Linked DNA regions of Saccharomyces cerevisiae S288C. The main gene of each other region encodes a partner of the protein of the gene in region 2 in a complex. Each region holds a gene or a part of one and is shown on either strand. Other genes may lie near its edges. A codon is read from its position in the direction of its gene.

Region 1 (4,135 bases), on a different chromosome or scaffold from region 2:
CCACTTCTTCATATTCAACATCTACATCCCCAAGTTTGACTTCTTCATCTCCAACTTTGGCTTCCACTTCTCCAAGTTCAACATCTATTAGCTCTACTTTTACTGATTCAACTTCATCCCTTGGCTCCTCTATAGCATCTTCATCAACGTCTGTGTCATTATACAGCCCATCCACACCTGTTTACTCCGTCCCTTCGACTTCGTCAAATGTTGCAACTCCTTCTATGACTTCTTCAACTGTTGAAACAACTGTTAGTTCACAAAGTTCGTCTGAATATATCACCAAATCCTCAATTTCTACTACTATCCCATCATTTTCCATGTCTACATATTTCACCACTGTTAGTGGAGTCACTACAATGTATACGACATGGTGTCCTTATAGCTCTGAATCTGAGACTAGCACATTAACCAGTATGCATGAAACGGTTACAACAGACGCTACAGTCTGCACTCACGAGTCTTGCATGCCCTCGCAGACAACAAGTTTGATTACATCTTCTATAAAAATGTCCACTAAAAACGTCGCAACTTCTGTAAGCACCTCAACGGTTGAATCCTCATATGCATGCTCCACATGTGCTGAAACGTCACACTCGTATTCTTCCGTGCAAACAGCTTCATCAAGTTCTGTAACACAGCAGACCACATCCACAAAGAGTTGGGTAAGTTCAATGACAACTTCGGATGAAGATTTCAATAAGCACGCTACCGGTAAGTATCATGTAACATCTTCAGGTACCTCAACCATTTCGACTAGTGTAAGTGAAGCCACGAGTACATCAAGCATTGACTCAGAATCTCAAGAACAATCATCACACTTATTATCGACATCGGTCCTTTCATCCTCCTCCTTGTCTGCTACATTATCCTCTGACAGTACTATTTTGCTATTCAGTTCTGTATCATCACTAAGTGTCGAACAGTCACCAGTTACCACACTTCAAATTTCTTCAACATCAGAGATTTTACAACCCACTTCTTCCACAGCTATTGCTACAATATCTGCCTCTACATCATCACTTTCCGCAACATCTATCTCTACACCATCTACCTCTGTGGAATCGACTATTGAATCTTCATCATTGACTCCGACGGTATCTTCTATTTTCCTCTCATCATCATCTGCTCCCTCTTCTCTACAAACATCTGTTACCACTACAGAAGTTTCCACTACTTCAATCTCCATACAATACCAAACTTCATCAATGGTAACAATTAGCCAATATATGGGCAGTGGATCGCAAACGCGTTTGCCATTAGGAAAGTTGGTCTTCGCCATCATGGCAGTTGCTTGCAATGTAATTTTCAGTTAATATCAGAACAATTTAATTCATTTATATAAACATATACAATCAATCGAATAAAAATACAACAATGTAATGAAAACGCTCTCTATTGATATGTATTTGCTGACGCTTATAAATTTATTAAAGTTTTATTTTAAACCGTTCTAGTGACTTCACGCGGGGAGATACATCCAATAGTAAATTACAAAATAAGGAAAGTATAAAACAAACGGATAACAACAGTAGCTTGGAGACAGCAAAGGCACCCGAGCAGGCGTGGAAACACACGATGCATTTGAAAAAGGGGAAGAGGAGTATTAGCACAGTATGGCGACTTTTATGGAAGCGTTTTTATTCCGTAAACTCTAAGACGAATATGCATTTTTCTCGAAGTAGGAAGAAACCAGTGACAAACTTCACAAGGACAAACGGACTTCTCCTGAGCTGTAATGGTGATACATTCCCATATCTGCGTACACTGTGGAGATACTTCAATGCGCCTGGTAATTTGATGTTTGTCACAACTAATATTGTCGCATTTATGGGCATTGTTACGTATAATACGCTGGTTACTATCAGCAGTGAAAGAGCATTCGAAGAGCAGATGATGGCGGCACAGGTGAGCCTGGCGAAACAGAGAGAAGAGCTCGAGACTACGGCCCTCAGCTTGCCACGAGATATTGAATTGAGGGGTGAAGAAGATGATATTAAATGGGAGCAACCTGATGTAGCACATGTCCGGGAAGATCCCTTAGTCGAGGAGCAGAACGCAAAGTTAGACACCCCTATAAAACAGTATACTTTAGGAGATTTGATTTTGAATAAGAGGGAAAATGTCACTGATTATGACTCGCAGCGTGCGAAGGCATCTATATTCCACATGCTATATGCTTATATGCTGTATCGAGATGTTATTCAACCCACGACCATGACTCAAAATAACAACAGCGAGGAATGGCGGCGTGAAGTCGAGCTTTTGACTAAGGGAAAAGAGGTACAAGGTACTCATCGAAGGATAGACGTGTTCTACGACCTGTGGAATAAAAATTTCGATAAGATAGTGACATCACCTGAGAAAGTGCAGAATTTTCAACTGCCGAACTGGTCTAAATACCCAACGATATTGAAATTCATCTGCACAGAACTTCACGACAACAGTTTGAAGACCTTGGGTGAGTTTAAGCAATTCTATGGAAAGGTGCGATCTAACGAGGTAAAAAAACTGTTGGGTCTTTGGCTGTACGACCATTCCTTCCTTTTCCCCCATAATATCTACGACAACAGAACCGAAGAAGATTTTTACGATATATTAATTAATGACTCCATGCAGGATAACAGGATATTCCAGAAATACTCTTCAATTGTAATGAATCCCTACAACGAACGTACTCAACTTTTTTTCCCTAATGTAAATTCTCCATCTGTCAACAAGCCAGTACCGAGCATATCTCTGGAAACATACACACGACTACTCAAGGGATATATCAACTTGCAAGAAACAGGCTGCAAATACGACTATAATGACAATATATTCAAACTAATCAGCATCCTCAAACTAAATTGTTTCCTACAACGCAACAAGAAGAAACACGCAGGGCCAACCGTCAGAATCCTACTGCCGAGAGATGAAGACCGCTCTCAAATACTTGGTACCATTTCGCAGGCAGAGAAGAGAACCTGTTATCAAATTCTAAGCAAAAATAGGGACGTGGTTGCGCTGCTGAAACGCATTTCTGATATCCAGGCGGACTCTTCTTAATAAAACATGTAAATATGTACCTCCCAAATCACACTCATCATCTCATACGAAACTGTATCTTTTTGGGTAAAATTTTCATCGATGAGCTTTAAAAGCAAAACTACTTCACCAGCAATGAAGCTACTGTAGCATCCTATGATCTCTTCGGCTCTACACATCATATTACTAGCCTAGTCAACATGAAGTTCTTAACCACCAACTTCCTAAAGTGCTCCGTTAAAGCCTGTGACACCAGCAACGACAACTTCCCCCTACAGTACGACGGCAGCAAATGCCAATTGGTACAGGATGAATCTATCGAGTTCAATCCAGAATTCCTTCTGAACATAGTCGACCGCGTAGACTGGCCTGCAGTGCTCACGGTTGCTGCCGAATTGGGAAACAACGCCTTACCTCCTACCAAACCATCCTTCCCATCTTCGATCCAGGAGCTCACCGATGACGACATGGCCATCCTTAATGACTTGCATACTTTACTGCTACAGACGTCCATTGCCGAAGGTGAAATGAAGTGTAGGAACTGCGGACATATCTATTACATCAAGAACGGCATTCCAAACTTGCTGTTACCTCCACACCTGGTATAAATCAAGCGAGATCTCTGTGTGTGGGCACGCAAGACGAAAAGACAACTATATACACAGCTATATATGTAGTAGTAGCCTCATATACGTATGGCATCAAACATGTAGCATAAACAACCTAAAAGGAAAACAAAGACTGAGATCTAACCCACCACAGTTTCTATTTGAGCCTTCCCGTCGCGCGTGATTTGGAGATACAGATTCTAAGAGCTTTAAAGAACGAGATACTCTCCTGTTTTAAGGACTCACCGGCATATAAGGCAGCAAAGTCGCCGGTTTGAAGGTTCAGGGGCCTTGAAGGTAGTATCATTTGGAAAACAGCAAGAGAATATGGCTGGACACCATCACGAACATGAACAAGAGCGCGACCACGAGCAAGAACACGAACACGATTCCCTTCAACGGCCTACTACTGGATCAGAAAGGACTAGAAGTATATCCTTTTCGAAGTTGCTTACGCGGTCATGGAAAAGGAATGCGAGTTCATCGAACAACATGAGTGT
Region 2 (5,596 bases):
CGTATGGCGTTTGGCCCTCCACATTCCTGATAGTGAAGTCTCCACCCAGCTCTTCCACGATCAACCTGGCAGTGGCCACATCCTCCACATGGTGCAACGGGGTATCGCCGTCGTTGTCCAACACATTAATGTCTCCATTGTACTCATTGCACATTTTCTTCAGCAAATCCAGGTGGCCGTATGCGGCGGCAGCATGCATTGGAGTGTAGCCGTTAATGTCCTTGGATTGCGGGGTCATGGCGCCTTTACTCTCGCGGAGGATATGTTCCACTCGGTCCAAATTACCATCTGAAGCAGCCACCCATATATTAGCGTTCATTTTGTCGTCACAACACCTATAATCATCGATTTTTGTCACCTGCAAACTCTTCTTGTTCTCAATTATATCAAAGGCATCGAAAATTTTTGGGGTTATGACAAGGAAAAAAAAAGTATTACCCGAAACTTAAACAATGAATGGTATATACTATATTGTAAAGTTCTAATAATATATATAAATATGTATATAGATATATATATAGACCTAGGAGCTCTTTGCCCCTGTCTTTGACCACGGTGGAGCGGACGCCCATTCCCTATTGTATATCTATCAAGGGCTTGCGAGGGACACACGTGGTATGGTGGCAGTTCATAAGGTCAGGTACAACGTCATAATGATACTGGGCCCTGAACAGACACCAAACGAAAAGACAACGTTGGACAACTGCGGTCTTGCCCGTAGAAACTTGGTGTTGCTCAAAGCAGTCCACACAAACTGCGACAGTTGGAACATGAACAGATATCCTCTAACCCTTCTGAAAATGGCGAACATGGCCATTTCGTGGAACACGGCACTCAAGAAAAAAGTAAATAATGTAGCTTGGCTCTTGCTCAAATGCAATGCGCCCATGGAGCTGTGGTACACGTGTCTTAGTAAAAATTTGTGAACGGGGACGTTCCAGATTCTGCTAAACTCTTCAAACGAAACGCAATTCCACCAGTCGCCGTAGAAATATCTGTCCGCAAACCTGGTCAACTCCGCCACGCAATTCAATAAAGCGTCCCATATCATGTAAAACGTGAGCATGTACAGAACAGTGAAGCCCGGAATCATGTCGAAGAGCAGGTGGAACCACTCTTGCGTGGCGGGGATCCAGCCGCCGAAGGTGGGCGTGTTGTGGAACTGGATACAGCGCATGGCCACCGGGTGCATGAAGAACTGTGCCGTGACCATCATGAGGAAGATGGTGCCAATGATGGCGCACACCTTCTCCAACACATACCTCCATCTGATGCGCGACGTTCTTGGGTAGTTGATCTGGTACACGAGGACGGGGAACAAACAGAACATGAAGAAATTGCTGCAACTGATGTTGTTGGGGAAGTCGTTATCCTTGGTCTGGTAGTTCAATTCGAAAAGGCAAAAGTCGCAACTTTTTTGCAGAATCTCGCGGGTCTCTGGGGACAAAGATTCCTTGTATTTTTGCAACTGTTTGGAAGAGTACTCGAGTTCCTGCTTTATGTCCCAAAGATACCCGTTGTAAAAGGCAAACGAGTGGCTCTTCATAACAAACACCACGGAGTGCAGGAACAGGAAGATTCTCGTGACCCAGTTGAAATCAAAGTAGTAGACGTAAATGGGGAACGTCACGGGGATGAAAGCCAACTCGAAGATGCTCACTGCAACGAACCCAGTCCACTTCCAGTTGATGATCCGCTTTTTCACCAGCCAGTGCACGAAAACCACGAAGAAAGTGCACAGGAACATTGCCAAGTCCAACATTGCGATCGTGAACAAGTCCGTTGTCATGTACTGCACGATTTCCAGCTTATTCCATGCACTGCCGTACGACGCATAGTAATCTGTGCAGCACCTGATGGCTATCCAGCCCAAGAACATCCATGCGAACACGTAGATCCCTGAAAAGTTCGACTCCAGTTTTTCTCCTGGGGGGGCATCTGCCTTGTCCGTTTTCTCCGTAGTCTTCACCGTAGTCTTCACCGTGGCCTTGGTCTTGGTCTTTGTCAACTGTAAATTTTTGAGCTGTTTCTCCAGCACCGGACCTTTGAAAGTCGTCTGGAAGGGCACGTTGATGGCGCTGTCCAGGAGCGTGGGGCGAGGATCAAAACTCACGTCCCCAAAAAACGACACATACTTGCTAGCATCCTTTCGGTGGAACCTCGACCGAGACTTGCTCTTCAGGTGTGAAAGGTACTTTTGCATGTGGGCGTCCACAGGGTACTCCTCCTCCTGCTCCTGCTTCCCTGCCACACGTTCCGCCTCAGTCGACTCCACTCCTTCAGTCGACTCCACTGGCTCCACCAGCGACGTGGTAGACGACCGTGGCGAAACCTCCATGGACTCCTGTGGCAGGATCACGTTATCGTACGTGACCGAATGCCGTTTGTTGGCTTCTGCGGAATTGAGTCTGCGGATCTTAAGAAACTCTTCGTCTTGCAACAAATCCTTAGTCTCCGTCATTCTTGCAATCTGTTTTGGCGCTCTTGCTGCAAGCCGTGCTGAACAACCACCTGCGTGAGTGTGCCAATGGCGCCCCTTTCCTCCACCACGCTCGTCCTTCTTATATCATCCGCATGTTGCCAGGGTCTGCTGGGTGCTATTGTTCGCTAAACGAGTCCAACCACGGCCGGGTATTTGATGGCCAAGCCAGATTTTTTTTTTTTTTTCACTCTACACCATCTCACATTTTTCAATTTTATCGATAAAAAGAAGAGATGAGCAGCACATACATAGTGTGATAAAGAGGAAAAAAGCAGAAGAAGCAGAAGAAGAAGAGCATAGTAAAAAAGTAGTGCTAAAAAGGTGCGGTACGGAAACACAGGAAATATATCAGAGAAGAAATAATGTCACGTCCTGAGGAGTTGGCACCACCGGAGATTTTCTATAATGATAGCGAAGCACACAAGTACACGGGTTCGACCAGAGTGCAGCATATCCAGGCGAAGATGACGCTGAGGGCGTTGGAGCTTTTGAATCTGCAGCCGTGCAGTTTCATTCTGGATATCGGGTGCGGGTCCGGACTGTCTGGGGAGATTTTGACGCAGGAGGGAGACCATGTGTGGTGTGGTTTGGATATATCGCCCAGCATGCTTGCGACCGGTCTTAGTAGAGAGCTGGAGGGCGACTTGATGTTGCAGGATATGGGCACCGGGATACCGTTCCGGGCGGGCTCGTTTGACGCGGCTATTAGTATCAGTGCGATCCAATGGCTGTGCAATGCGGACACTTCATACAACGATCCTAAACAGCGGTTGATGAGGTTTTTCAACACATTGTATGCTGCACTGAAGAAGGGAGGGAAATTTGTGGCCCAGTTCTACCCGAAAAACGACGACCAGGTGGACGACATACTGCAGTCTGCCAAGGTGGCAGGGTTCAGTGGCGGGCTTGTGGTGGACGACCCAGAGTCTAAAAAGAATAAGAAGTACTACCTTGTGTTGAGCAGTGGGGCCCCACCGCAGGGGGAGGAGCAGGTGAATTTGGACGGTGTGACCATGGACGAGGAGAACGTCAACTTGAAGAAACAACTGCGCCAGCGCTTGAAGGGAGGCAAAGACAAGGAGTCTGCCAAGAGTTTCATTCTAAGAAAGAAGGAGCTCATGAAAAGACGTGGGAGGAAAGTTGCGAAGGACTCCAAGTTCACCGGGAGGAAAAGAAGACACAGGTTCTAGAAGAAACACACATCCTCACACGCATATTCTTTTGTATACTATAAAAATACACACTTATACATTTCCCTCTGTCTCTGTCTCCTTCTACATGTATACTTGTATATGTATACTTGTATATATACACTTATATCTGTATGTGAGTGGTCAATGGCTCCGCGCACTTTTATGTAGTGATGTATTTTCCTTTTTTTCTTGGTTTTCAATTTTGGTGCTTTGGAACTCCCAGTAAAGAAGAAGAAGAAGAATCGAGTCTTCCCTCTGAGCAGCTGCTGAAAGGGAGAGAGAACCATAGCGATGTGGAGCAGGAACGTCAGATTGCTTGGATCATGGACAAGGTCCTACATGGTCCCCGCCACCAAGAGAAAAACCATCCCCGTGTACCCACCTGTGCAGCGCATAGCTTCGTCGCAGATTATGAAGCAGGTGGCCCTCTCAGAAATAGAGTCTCTGGATCCCGGGGCCGTTAAGAGGAAGCTCATCAGTAAAAAGAACAAGGACCGCTTGAAGGCAGGCGACGTGGTCCGGATTGTGTACGACTCGTCCAAGTGCTCGTACGACACCTTTGTTGGCTACATCCTTTCCATAGACCGCAAACAACTGGTGCAAGACGCCTCGTTGCTGTTGCGGAACCAGATAGCCAAGACGGCCGTCGAGATTAGAGTGCCATTGTTTTCGCCGCTGATCGAGAGAATCGACTTGCTAACCCCCCACGTCTCGAGCAGACAAAGAAACAAACACTACTACATCAGAGGTACAAGGTTGGATGTCGGCGACCTCGAGGCAGGTCTAAGAAGAAAGAAATAGGCTAGGCGCGGGTTCTGTGGCCACCCATCTCCTGTATATAAGAAAAATAGTGCGTGTATAAAATCTACGTATACTAACTATGGGTAAAGTAAACCTTTTTGTACTGTTTTCTTTTTTTTTTTTTTGGTTTCCCGTAGTGATGACGTACGTGTATAGAGAATTGAAGCGAAAATAAAAAAAACGACACAAAATATTGTTCTCATTGGCTTTTTTATTTTCTATTTTACACAGCATATAGAGGTATACTCAAGTGCTAGACATCCTCTAACATCCGCCAAGAAAAACAGCAAAAAAACACTGGTCATGAAGCCACAGTGCATACTCATCTCTTTGCTGGTCAACCTCGCATACGCAGAGGAGTATTTGGTGAGGTTCAAAAATCCCACAGCATTCCAACAATTCACTTCGAATTCCAACAGGTCATGGAGACAGTTCATCGACAACAAAATTGAGAAGAAATTCTCCATCGGATCCTTCCGCGGCGTGACCATGAACCTGTCCAAGAACTTAGTGAACAAGCTGAAGAAAAGCCCACTGGTGGCTGATATTGTGCCCAACTTCAGGTTCGAAGCTTTTGAAGGCGACAGTGTAAATAGCGCCGAGTCGAGTTATACGTTTAACGCTACCGCCAAATACTCGTACGAAGACGTCGAGGAAGAGCAAAATATAACGTATCAACCAGACGCACCCCGTCACTTGGCCCGGATTTCCCGCCACTACCAACTCCCATTCGACGTTGGGGACAAGGACCGCTACAAAAGCTGGTTCAATTACTACTATGAACACGACTATCAAGGTCAAGACGTCAACGCCTATATCATGGATACGGGTATCTTCGCGGACCATCCGGAATTCGAAGACAGAGTCATCCAGGGGATTGACTTGACCAAAGAAGGGTTTGGCGACCAGAATGGCCACGGAACGCACGTGGCGGGACTCGTAGGTTCCAAAACGTATGGAGCGGCAAAGAGGGTCAATCTTGTGGAGGTCAAAGTCTTGGGCAAAGACGGGTCTGGCGAGGCCAGTAACGTTCTTAGTGGTCTGGAGTTCATCGTGGAACATTGCACAAAGGTCAGTCGCCCACAGGGTAAAAAATGCGTGGCCAATCTAAGTCTAGGGA

What was found.
Region 1: the proteins of BUD23 (region 2) and TRM112 are in contact, whole or in part, in a crystal structure (PDB 4QTT), measured with the Saccharomyces cerevisiae proteins. Residues at the interface, in NP_009976.1 of Saccharomyces cerevisiae: Pro47 (codon at 2,983), Cys48 (codon at 2,986), Ser49 (codon at 2,989), Phe50 (codon at 2,992), Asp70 (codon at 3,052), Val72 (codon at 3,058), Cys74 (codon at 3,064), Ile78 (codon at 3,076), Leu83 (codon at 3,091), Leu87 (codon at 3,103), Glu92 (codon at 3,118), Gly93 (codon at 3,121), Asp94 (codon at 3,124), Leu95 (codon at 3,127), Met96 (codon at 3,130), Leu97 (codon at 3,133), Gln98 (codon at 3,136), Asp99 (codon at 3,139), Thr102 (codon at 3,148), Ile104 (codon at 3,154), Pro105 (codon at 3,157), Phe106 (codon at 3,160), Arg107 (codon at 3,163), Gly109 (codon at 3,169), Ser110 (codon at 3,172), Phe111 (codon at 3,175), Asp112 (codon at 3,178), Arg139 (codon at 3,259); in NP_014444.1 of Saccharomyces cerevisiae: Met1 (codon at 3,228), Lys2 (codon at 3,231), Leu4 (codon at 3,237), Thr5 (codon at 3,240), Asn7 (codon at 3,246), Phe8 (codon at 3,249), Leu9 (codon at 3,252), Lys10 (codon at 3,255), Ser12 (codon at 3,261), Lys14 (codon at 3,267), Asp17 (codon at 3,276), Phe23 (codon at 3,294), Ile40 (codon at 3,345), Asn43 (codon at 3,354), Glu45 (codon at 3,360), Phe46 (codon at 3,363), Asn49 (codon at 3,372), Ile50 (codon at 3,375), Arg53 (codon at 3,384), Val54 (codon at 3,387), Asp55 (codon at 3,390), Leu101 (codon at 3,528), Asn123 (codon at 3,594), Gly124 (codon at 3,597), Ile125 (codon at 3,600), Pro126 (codon at 3,603), Asn127 (codon at 3,606), Leu128 (codon at 3,609), Leu129 (codon at 3,612).

What each region holds. Positions count from the first base shown.
Region 1 is NC_001146.8:704,561-708,695, forward strand, and holds TRM112 (RNA methylation protein TRM112), read left to right. Parts: upstream 1-3,227; coding exon 3,228-3,635; downstream 3,636-4,135. Other genes in the region: AGA1 (Aga1p), read left to right, coding at 1-1,316; PET494 (Pet494p), read left to right, coding at 1,579-3,048; serine/threonine protein kinase FPK1, read left to right, coding at 3,963-4,135. UniProt on the Saccharomyces cerevisiae protein: Acts as an activator of both rRNA/tRNA and protein methyltransferases. Together with methyltransferase MTQ2, required for the methylation of eRF1 on 'Gln-182'.
Region 2 is NC_001135.5:208,794-214,389, reverse strand, and holds BUD23 (18S rRNA (guanine1575-N7)-methyltransferase), read left to right. Parts: upstream 1-2,844; coding exon 2,845-3,672; downstream 3,673-5,596. Other genes in the region: YCR051W (uncharacterized protein), read right to left, coding at 1-319; YCR050C (uncharacterized protein), read left to right, coding at 618-926; ARE1 (sterol acyltransferase), read right to left, coding at 629-2,461; mitochondrial 54S ribosomal protein bL19m IMG1, read left to right, coding at 3,967-4,476; RRT12 (Rrt12p), read left to right, coding at 4,780-5,596. UniProt on the Saccharomyces cerevisiae protein: S-adenosyl-L-methionine-dependent methyltransferase that specifically methylates the N(7) position of guanine 1575 (m7G1575) in 18S rRNA. Requires the methyltransferase adapter protein TRM112 for full rRNA methyltransferase activity.